Canis lupus familiaris: one gene and its partners. The protein of the gene in region 3 purifies or fractionates together with the protein of the main gene of each other region. This does not show direct contact. Links are inferred from orthologs where the notes say so. Each region holds a gene or a part of one and is shown on either strand. Other genes may lie near its edges. The genes, in order: SNTB1, SNTB2 and ADRA1D.

Region 1 (3,749 bases), on a different chromosome or scaffold from region 3:
CATTTCTTGATTGGCCTGGTAAGGTGACCAACTATAATAATACCGTCCCCCTGGAACAATGAGTAACTAGTAACTAGTCCAAACAAGTAAGGGAACTTTGCAGATACAGTCCACTGCCACCGAGTTCTCAAACGGTGGGACCTCCTACATTGGATTTTGGGAAGAAAGAGAAAGTCCCAGGAAACAACTGGAATGGCCCTGGGTGGGGTGGGGGCGGGGACCAGACAGAGACGCAGATTGCCTACGGAGTGTTGAAGCTGGGAAGGCGTCAGGTCCCGGGGTCTGGGGTCGGGGGCAGGCAGTGACCTGCTGAAAGCCACCGGCCAGCACACGCGCCTCTCCAGGGATCCGGAGGAAAGAAGTCCTGCCTGCATTTCGAGAGAGGAAGTTTCGGGCCCTCGGGCTATGCTGACGCTCCATCCTGAGCTCTCGGGACAGCCGTCCCTCTGGACTCTCGGAGAACCCGGGGCCTCCATCCGAGTCTACCTGGGAACCCCGGCGCGGAGGGGAGCCAGGTGAGGAAGAGCTCGGCGGGAGAAGCCAAGCCTCGGTTTGCGGAAGCCGGAGCGAGGAGGGTCTGGGTCTGGGTACGGCTGGGGCGTGGGGGGGGGGGGGCGGGACCCAGGGACAGTGGGGCGGGCTCCGGGGCGTGGAGCGCGGGCCCCAGGCAGGGCGAGGGGTCCGGGCCAAGGCGCGGCGTGGGCGCCCGCGGGGCGGGGAGGGGGCGGGGCCGGGGGTCGGAGCCGCGAGCGGCCGGAACAGGTGAGCGGCCGCCGGGCCCCGCCGGGCCCCCGCCCTCCCCGCGGGCGCGCCTCCTCCTCCCGACCCTCCGGGCGCCGAGCGCCGCCGCTCCCCTCCGTTGGCGCGTTTGCAACTGGCAGCTGGCTTTTTTTTTTTTTTTTTTTTTTCTTTCCCCTCCTTTCCCCTCCCCTGAGTGTGTCTCTCCTTCTTTTAGGTCGCTCCACCCCGCGCAGGATCCGGCGAGGGGGAGCGCGCGGCGGCGGCCACCTCGCGCCGGGCGCGCGTGCCAAGTCCCCGAGCGGCGCCCCGCGCCCGGCCCGCGCCCCGCGCCCGCGGCCTCCCCGCAGCCCGTGCCCACTCTTCCCCCCTTTGGCAATCGCACGGCGTTTTAAGAATGCCGGAAAGATGGCGGTAGCGGCGGCGGCGGCGGCGGGCCCGAGCGGCGGGGGAGGCGGCCGCGCGCCGCGGAGCGGGCCGCTGGAAGTTCTGGTGCGGGACCGCTGGCACAAAGTTCTGGTGAACTTGGGCGAGGACGCGCTGGTCCTGAGCTGCGAGGAGGGCGCCGCGGCGTCCAACGGCCTGGGCACCGCCACCAATGGCGCGTTCTGCAGGGGCGCGGGCGGCGCGCAGCCCCCCGACTCGCCGGCCGGGGTCCGCACCGCCTTCACCGACCTGCCCGAGCAGGTGCCCGAGGCCATCTCCAACCAGAAGCGCGGCGTGAAGGTGCTGAAGCAGGAGCTGGGCGGGCTGGGCATCAGCATCAAGGGAGGCAAGGAGAACAAGATGCCCATCCTCATCAGCAAGATCTTCAAGGGGCTGGCGGCCGACCAGACCCAGGCCCTGTACGTGGGCGACGCCATCCTGTCGGTGAACGGGGCCGACCTGCGGGACGCCACCCACGACGAGGCGGTGCAGGCGCTGAAGCGCGCGGGCAGGGAGGTGCTGCTGGAAGGTAGGGGCTCCCGCCGGCGGCCGCGCACACACCCCCTCGCACCCACCCACGTGCCCGCGCAGCCCCGGGGCCGGCGGCGGGGAGCTGGGACAGCTTTAGCCCCCCTGCCCCCGGGTCCCCAACCCAGGTCCCTGACCCCGCGCCCCTAACCCAGGTCCCTGACCCCGCGGCCCTAACCCGGGAGCTCTTGCAGGCCGGGACCCTGCAGGGGTGTGTGAAGGGGCAGGGCGAGCAGGCTTAGTGCACCGCGTGTCCTGTTTCCCCGCGGATAATCCGAGTGAGGCGTGGGGGCCGAGTGTAACCCGGGGCAGCCGTCCACGCGGCGGGGAGAGCCCACTGAATGAATAATCGCAACTCTGCTGCAGCTTCGTGCCTCGGCACTATGTTCTCAGAAGCCTGGGCGATCTGATTTAAAGGGTTCATTCAGTCCCCCCCAAAGAGGATGGAGAGGCGTGGCCGTGTGCGTGGACCCCCCCGCCCCCCAAGCCCCCTCATCCTCCCGGACTTCCCTCCTCGCAGACTGGAAACCCGGGTTATTACGCTGGGGGAGTTGTGCCAAGGGCTGGGGAAGTGTGCCGCAGCTTCATGCAGAAGTTGGTTCCCTTCTGGTGCCAGGTGTTTGGCCGGTCAGTCTGGATTCCAGGCTGCTCTGGCTGGAGGGTTGCTGAGGCAGTTTTTCTGCCTGGCCTCGTCCCGGGATTTTTCCTGAGTGGCGTGGAAACAGTTTCGCATTTGTAAACAGTTTCCCCTGAGTGGGAGGCTTCTTGGAAAGGACTCTCTTGAGATCCTATGTCCCCAATCCCCTAATTTTTCAAGGGAGTGGAATAGGTAGCCGAGTTGTTATAGCCTTTTGGGATTATGTGCTGTTAGGAGGGCAGAAGGGCAGTAGGGTATTAAGTGGATAATCATTCTCCTTTCCCACTACATCTTGTATCTCTTACTTGGTAACTGCCTCTCTGCCCCCATGGCTTGCTTCGTGCTAACCTCAGTTAGCACACATATCATGTAATTATTTTTGCCTATTTACTCAGCTTCCCCCTCACTGTAGATTGAGTTGCCTGGGGTCTTTTATTTAGTTATGGGTCATCTCCCTTGAGTTTCAGGGCTCAAGGATATGCATGACAAGTGAATAAATAAATGAGCCCATAGCCATGGTCGCACAGTATTTCAACCCAGATCTTGTAAACTGGTGGTTGATTTAAATCCGAAATTGAGGACTTAAAGTCAATTTCCTGCTCACCAGATGTGGTGCTGGTGTGTGAAACCGAGAAAGTTCAAAGTTGGAAAACCAGCTTTGTTACATGTGACAGCTGATGCAACTCTCTGGTACACGATCGTCCAGCTCCTGCCTAGAATACATAGGGTCCTCCCCCACACACTTTTATTTATCTAGAGGATTTGTGATGTCTTCATATTTAATAGCTACCCTGGATCCAGAAAGTGGAAGGCTATTTGCTTTGGCTTGATGATTAACATAAGTAAACAGAAAAAAGTTTTCTTGACTCGAGTGTGTGTGTTGGTTTGTGTGACAAGAGGCAGGTGGGATCTGCGGCAAGTTTAGTTTGGACTATAAACTGCTAGGCGCCTGCTTCGCTTGCAATATTTGCTATAAACTCTCAGGGGGGACAAAAGGCAGGCCATTTCTCTTTCAATTCGTTATGTCTTTTATGTCCTTCATTATGTCTTTTCTTCTCTTTGGTTTCAATTTAATGAATAATAACTTAGCAAAGAGATGAAAAAAAAAATCTCTCACCCAAAAAAAGAGGAAGGAAAGGTGACTCCCTGCAGTTGAAAATAAATTTAAAAGGAATCAGACAGTTATGTGACTTTACGGATGCAGCAACCTAAGAGTGAGTTTTGTAAAAACCTCTGATGTGACATTCTTGCAACACGCCATCCTGTGTTACGGGCAGGACCTCTGCGGGGAGGCCTGTGGGCCTCCTGGAAATGAGCCACCTGGGCTTGGGGGCAGCAGTCTTATTCCCAGCCAGAGTTTTCAGAGATCGACTGCAAATGAGAGAAGCCAGTAGAGGCCCCACTCAAAACAATGTCTCTT
Region 2 (3,649 bases), on a different chromosome or scaffold from region 3:
CCTCTCTCTCAGTCTGTGTCTCTCGTGAATAAATCAATCAATCAATCAATCAATCAATCAATCTTTAAAAAAAGAGAGAGAGAGAGAGAGAGACCCCAGAGAGCTCTCTAGACTCTTCCGCTATGTGAGGACACAGCAAGAAGATAGCCATCTATGAATCAGGAAGCCGGCCCTCACCAGACACGGATTCTGCTGGCACCTCATCTTGGACTTCTATCCTTCCTATTCTTGGACTGTGAAAAATCAATTTCTGTTGTTTATAAGCCACCCAGTCTATGATATTTTGTTACAGCAGTCACAACAGACTACGACAAGAGATACCTATTCTCATTCTCAGAAATGATTTATAATGAAGAGACTTAGCCTGAAAAAATTCCTCAGCCTGACAACCAGTTGACAAATTTAGTTGCTGTTTGTTCTTTATCACATTGTTTCTCTATTCTAGTTCCTTCTTTGTGGTCCTTATTTTTTTTTCCTAATTTTTTTAAGTTCATAATTAACCAAAAGCTCTCCAAAAATGCATTTCATTTGAAGAAAAAAAATAATTTTGATCTAAAAGTTAGAAGTGATTACTTTGCAAATTAAATTCTTACTTAATGAAAAAAAAGCAATTCTTTAAAGACCAAGCTCTGTTGTATTTAGATATAATTTAACATGCACACAATCTTTCATGAATAAATCTATATGTAACTTGAAACAATTTCCATAATGTCTTGAACTTGTAAAAGAAAGAAAACAAGATCAATACAAATATATCAGAACATAATTTTCAAAATGTGTAAACATAATTGGCAGTTAAGACTTCTTCAAGCTACGCTTTAAAAAATATTTTTTTGGGGGGGATCCCTGGGTGGCTCAGCAGTTTAGCACCTGCCTTTGGCCCAGGGCGTGATCCTGGAGTCCTGGGATCGAGTCCCGCATCAGACTTCCTGCATGGAGCCTGCTTCTCCCTCTGCCTGTATCTCTGTCTCTCTCACTCTCTCTGTGTCTCTCATGAATAAATAAAATAAAAATCTTTAAAAAAAAAACTTTTTAAAAAAATTTATTTATTTGAAAGAGAGCAAGCAAGAGAGAAAGCACAAACAAGGGGCAGGGGCAACGAGAGAGGGAAAAGCAGGCTCCCCGCTGAGTGGGGAGCCCAACCTGGAGCTCAACCCAGGCCCCAGGATCATGACCCAAGCCGAAGGGAGATGCTTAACTAATTGCAAGTCACTCTTTCTTAAGAACCTACAATGAACCTGGCTCTGTGCAAAGGGTTCCTATTATTGTCTCATTTAATCTGCACACTGAGTTAAGTATTATTATTCTTTTTTAAAAAAAAAACAAATGAGGATATGGTGGTTTATGGAGGTGAAAGGATTTGCTCAGAGCCTTTCAGCAGGTCACCCTAATCATGATTGTCTGATTTCCACAAGAAGGTTTATCTGATTGCAGAGCTCAACTCTTTCCAGTATGCCACACACAATATATATTACAGAGCAGGACTTTTAATGTCCCCATGGTCTAAAATCCCCAATGTTGGGGCACCTGGGTGGCTCATTAAGCATCTGCCTTCAGCTTGGGTCATGACCCTGGGGTCCTGGGATTGGGTCCCTCATCAGGCTCCTGGCTTCCCCTGTTCATGCATTCTCTATCTTTCAAATAAATAAAAAATCTTCAAAAAAATGCCCAAGGTCACTGAGCTTCCTGCTGTCTTCTTGTATCCATCCCATCCTGATTGGGTATTTGGCTATACATTCAGATCAGAAGAGACCATAAAACTGAAAGTACATTATATAAAGTCTGGTGCTTAACTAGGTCTTTGGATAAGTTTCTCTGTCTCTTTTTTCCCCCTAATCTCTAACCGAACACTAGGTTTACCAGTATCACCTCACAGAATCACTGAAGACAAAGTCACAGAACCTGAATGGTTATAGAACTATGCAAGGGACACTAGAAATTATTCAAAATCAACTCTCTCTATTTACAAATAAGGACACTCAAGTCAAGAGATGTCAAGTTGCCAGGGTCACATTGCTAGCTGAGGCAGCCATATCTATAATCAGATCTCAGACTCTACATTATCCACAATATAAGGAGTTTCCATCTGAGGAGATATTTACAATTTAACAAGGTTTTTAAAATTATGAATTAAATTCAGAGTGAGAAAAGTACTAATACTCCAGAAAAGTGTGAAATTAAGAGAAGTCCCTCTACCCTTCTAATCTATTTGATTGATTGATTGATTGATTCATTCATTCATTCATTCATTCATGAGTGACACAGGGAGAGAAAGAGAGAGGCAGAGACAGGCAGAGGGAGAAGCAGGCTTCATGCAGGGAGCCAGATGTGGGACTCGATCCCGGGTCTCCATGATCACGCCCTGAGCTGAAGGTGGAGCTAAACCGCTGAGCCACCTGGGCTGCCCTACCCTTCTAATCTTATTTTACTCCCTGGAGGAACCACCATGAAGTTTCCTGTGTGTTTGTCCCAAATTTTTCCATATATGTATATGTACATGTATGTGTAAAGTAATTTAAATATGGAACTCCAGGGTCACCTCAGTGGCTCAGTGGTTGAGCGTCTGCCTTTGACTCAGGTCATGATCCCAGGATCGAGTCCCGCATCGGGCTCCCCACAGAGAGCCTGCTTCTCCTTCTGCCTATGTCTCTGCCTCTTTCTCTATCTCTCTTATGAATAAAGAAATAAAATCTTTTTAAAAAAAAGATATATATGGAACCCCCAAAATTATTCTCTCATCTTAGGCTGATGTTTTCCTCTGCATAATGTTGTCAACAGTCATATTATTAATAATATGCATGAGTAATATTGCAACATGTCCCTAAGTTTGTAAAGCTGTGAGTACGATATTCTCCCTTTAGGTACAGCTCACCTGTTTTCCAGATCCGGCATGCTTAGGTTTCTAGCAGCAAAGCACATTTTGAGAGGGATGACCTTCCTGTCCTTGGTGCTGTTCTGGTGTTTTGGAGAACCAGAGTCCTCACTGCCACTAAAGCTTGGTGACTGCGGAGATGCACCTTCCCAAGGTAGATCTGATACTAATGATGGTTTCTTGATATATGGTGTTACTTCTCGGATGAACTTGACTACAAACAAAAATCAAAGAAGAAGGTTACTGTTTTTGCTTCCTATGAACAATGACAACTGAAATACACACATACATTTAATATCTGTTGGTCAGTAAAAAAAGACACTAAGTTAAAGAGCCAGCACACAGCATTTTAGGATTGGAGAATATCTTAAAGGCTATATAATCCAAACGAAATGCCACTACTATATTCTAAAAAGTTTAACTTCTGAGCTTTTGCATGTATTTTTCCTTCTGCTTAGGATTCCTCTTTCTCTGCCTGGTCAACTCTACTTCAGAGTTACCTCTTCAGCAACCTTTCCTGTCAACTCTCCCCAGGGTATTACCAACACACCTCTGTCACAACCTCTCAGCACCCTGGGTTGTATCCTTTGCTAATACTTCCATCCACCTGCTGGGTCTGAGTTCTTTGAGGGCAGGACTTATGATGGATTCAGTCTTAGTATCCAACACATAGTACAGTGTGTGCTCAATATATGTTTGAAAATGAGTTAAAGAAACAAATGGAGACGCCTGGGTGGCTCAGTTAGTTAAGTGTCTGCCTTTGGCTCAGGTTGTAAT
Region 3 (3,343 bases):
TTCCTCTAGGCCACTCTGCGGCATTTGGACATGTCCTGACCCCAAGGTCAGCAACTCAGTGCTTTATCCATGATTAGAACTGGGTCCCTGGTGGTGGTGGGGGTCCCTGTGGCAGAGCCTCTTGGGGAGCTCTGTAGCTCCCCCTGATGTCCTGAAGGCATGGGGGTACAGGAGGTGACAGCTGTGTGCAGAGGGCCCCTGTGGCCAGGAGATGAGGGCTGAGGCTTGAACATGAGAGATGTTTTGCAGATTAATCATTGGGCCTAGAGAAAGTATTGGGCTAGCTGCCAGCTCCACCTGCCTGCACACCTACTGGGTTTTCCAGGGCAGGGAGGGCCCCCTAAAGTCCCCCTATGAACGTTCCCTCCCCAACCTGCTCCCTTATCCCCACTGTTGACCTCCTGTGGGCTCCACTGCCCTGGCATGTGGGAGCCCATGTTCGCCTGCTCAGAGACCTTCCCCTGCTGTTGGAACCTCTGCCCAGAAGCCCAATGTTCAGTTCTCTGATGAGGGGTCAGCCCCTTTGCTGACTCCTGATTTGAGGGATGGCCCCCACCTCTGTGAGAAGATAGCAAGGGCTGTCCTCCAGTGTCCCCAGCTTTAGGTGGCCAATGTCCTGTAAAGTGGGCCCTCTTTGGGGTGTACAGCATGTACCCAGAACCCGCCTTTAACTACCCTTCCTGTGCCTTGCGGGGATGCCAGGCCTAGAAGCTGATGTAGATCCACAGTATGAAATGTCTGCTCCTGAGCCCTGGTACTGGCTATCTTTTTACCTTATAAAATTGGAGAGGTCTAAAATCGTGGTTACCTTTCAAATAGACTACTTCCTCAGCACAGGATGGAAACTTTTGATTCAAACTACTGGTCCATGTTGGCCCCAGCAACTGGCTCTTCTAGTTTTAGAACATTCCCACTCCAGACACCCTGGGGTATTGCCTAACCAGCTTTCCACTGGACCACAGTTATCACCCCCACTCCGGCTGTATGTGTGTGGTTGATATTATCCAGCTGAAGACTGAATTACCTCAATCTCTTGAGTATGTGACAAGTGCTGGACATTTCACTCAAAGCTAACAGCACTATTCCTAAGTAGGTGTTCTCTCATACCATGTATGCTTGTCTACTTGGGCTTCTATATTTTTTCATGTAATGTGTTATCCATTTAACTGATGGCCATCTTCCTCACTGAGACCAAGAGCATCACAGATACATCTGGGGAGACTGACAAAATGAACATTTATGCTTATGATTACTGTTTGGTTCCCAAGACTCATCATATGAATTTTAAAAGCCAACAAAACCCCTAAGTCCTTTAAGGGTCATGCTAAAAGTCCCAGAGGAGAACAGCCATCCATTAAACAGATAGTTGGGTTGAAACTAGAAAGGTGAATGCAGACCTGACTATCCTCTTGTTGGGCTTTAGAACTTGAAGGAGTTTAGAAAAAAAAAAAAAAAAGTAGTTCTTTATGGGTTACAAGCTAAAGAGGGACAGTTTGCACAGTTTGGACAAAATAGAAGTACTCTTACCAATAAATATGTCTCAAAATGACAAAGCTCTCCCCATTTGATGGCTCCAGATCCTCGCAAGAAGTGATGGGCACAGGCACTATGTACAGAGTGTAAACAGTAAGGCCCTTGGGACATAATGAGGGGCAGGGCCAGGTGGTGGGGTATGCATGGAGGAGCCTCTGTAGTGGGGAGTGGGTCCATGGGTAAATACAACAGGCTTGTGGGATGGTCATCCAATCTGCCACCAAAGCTTGTTGGTGGCTGGGCTGGTCCACTGGGTTCCTCCAGTCGGCAGTAAGGAGAAGTTGTGTCCATTGAGAAGTCCCCCTGGTCCCACTGGCTTTTTCCCTAGGGGAGGCATTGGGGACAGCCAGGCAGGCCTGCCCCTCCTCTTGAGGCGGTCTGTCCAGGGTTCAAGGCATGGATGGGGCAGTGTTTCTCAAACAGGGATTGGGGGCAACAGGCCCCCCGGAACCCACAGCCCCTTCCTCCGAAAGGAAGAGCTCCAGGCACCTGTGTCGGGGAGGGAGGCCATAACTTTTTACCTTTCCAGGGCCCTACCCCGTAGCCTCAGTTTCTCAGGGAGGCCCGGGAGCAGCCCGGATCAGCGTCAAGCCAGCCTCGCTGGGCCCCCGCCGCGCCCTGCCGCACCTGCACCCGCCCCCGCCCGCAGCCCCCCCCCCCCCGCGGGCCTTAGATGTCGGTCTCCCGGAGGTTGCTGTAGTCGGCCAGCTCGTAGGCCTGGCCGGCGGCGCCCCCCGCCACGTCGTGGGGCACTCCGAGGGACACCGCCTCCACCTCCGCGCGCTGCGCGCTCCCGGCGCGGATCTTGTGCGACAGGCTGGAGACCTTGGCACGCAGCTGGGTGGTGGGTCTCCGGAACGGCCCGAGCAGCCTCCACTCGCGGAAGGCGCAGGGCGGCTTTCGACGGCCGGCGACGGGGCCCTGCGCCTCGGGCGCGCCGGGGGAGCCGGGGGAGCCGGGGGAGCCGGGCGCCGAGGGCGCGGTGAGGGCCAGCGGGGCCCCGGGGGGCGCGGCGCCGCGGCCGGCAGCGAGGTCGGGGCGCGGGCCGCCGCTGGAGCCCCGCCAGTGGTGGCCGTAGACGCGCCACAGGGGCCGGCGGCGCCGACGACGCCGACACTGGCAGCGCAGCAGGCGAAGGAAGGCGCGCTTGAACTCGCGGCTGGAGCAAGGGTAGATGAGCGGGTTCACGCAGCTGTTGAAGTAGCCGAGCCAGAAGATGACCTTGAAGACGCCCTCCGAGGGCTTCAGCTGCGGGAACAGGGAGCCTGCGGGGGGGGGGGGGGGGGGGGGGGGGTAGAGACCCACGCCTGTTAGATGCTCCAGGAGAGCGAGGCCCGGCAGCCCCCTGGGCGCAAAGTCCTCAACTAGGGGCTGGGCTGCCAGCTCGGGGCTCCCAACGTCTCTCTCCCCAAGGGGGTCCCTGATGAGGAAAAAATCATCATCTTCCGTTTTACTGACGTCTCCTTGATACTGAGCAGTTTCCCTGAATGACAGTGTAGGCAACAAACTCAAGTAGGAGGGAGAGGAAGCCCTATGCGGTCCCGGTTCTCCTAGCTCAAAACTGGTGCAAGATGGGCAGTTTCCTAGAATTCGACCTGACTCTCAGCAGTTCCTGCCAGGTATTTTCCTATCACATTCAGTTGCTGCAGATGCTCTGAAATACTGTCTGCTCCTATTTGGAAATGACAGTCATCAGAACCTACCACTAGATTCTCTTACTTAATGCCTTAACCTAGAAGCACATTCCTTACTAAGCCAGAGATTTCATTCACAAATGTTTTGGTGTTTTCAACGAAATCCGTTTTATTTG

The links.
Region 1: the proteins of ADRA1D (region 3) and SNTB1 purify together in Homo sapiens (tandem affinity purification; 4 studies listed by BioGRID and IntAct, with this or other methods). This does not show direct contact. The link is inferred for Canis lupus familiaris from reciprocal best matches to the Homo sapiens genes ADRA1D and SNTB1.
Region 2: the proteins of ADRA1D (region 3) and SNTB2 purify together in Homo sapiens (tandem affinity purification; 4 studies listed by BioGRID and IntAct, with this or other methods). This does not show direct contact. The link is inferred for Canis lupus familiaris from reciprocal best matches to the Homo sapiens genes ADRA1D and SNTB2.

Annotation. Positions count from the first base shown.
Region 1 is NC_049234.1:20,013,891-20,017,639, reverse strand, and holds the start of SNTB1 (beta-1-syntrophin), read left to right. Parts: upstream 1-1,131; 5' UTR 1,132-1,146; coding exon 1,147-1,693; intron 1,694-3,749. UniProt on the Homo sapiens protein: Adapter protein that binds to and probably organizes the subcellular localization of a variety of membrane proteins. May link various receptors to the actin cytoskeleton and the dystrophin glycoprotein complex.
Region 2 is NC_049226.1:80,985,600-80,989,248, forward strand, and holds part of SNTB2 (beta-2-syntrophin), read right to left. Parts: intron 3,087-3,649; coding exon 2,873-3,086; intron 1-2,872. UniProt on the Homo sapiens protein: Adapter protein that binds to and probably organizes the subcellular localization of a variety of membrane proteins. May link various receptors to the actin cytoskeleton and the dystrophin glycoprotein complex.
Region 3 is NC_049245.1:17,682,819-17,686,161, reverse strand, and holds part of ADRA1D (alpha-1D adrenergic receptor), read right to left. Parts: intron 2,799-3,343; coding exon 2,203-2,798; 3' UTR 1-2,202. UniProt on the Homo sapiens protein: This alpha-adrenergic receptor mediates its effect through the influx of extracellular calcium.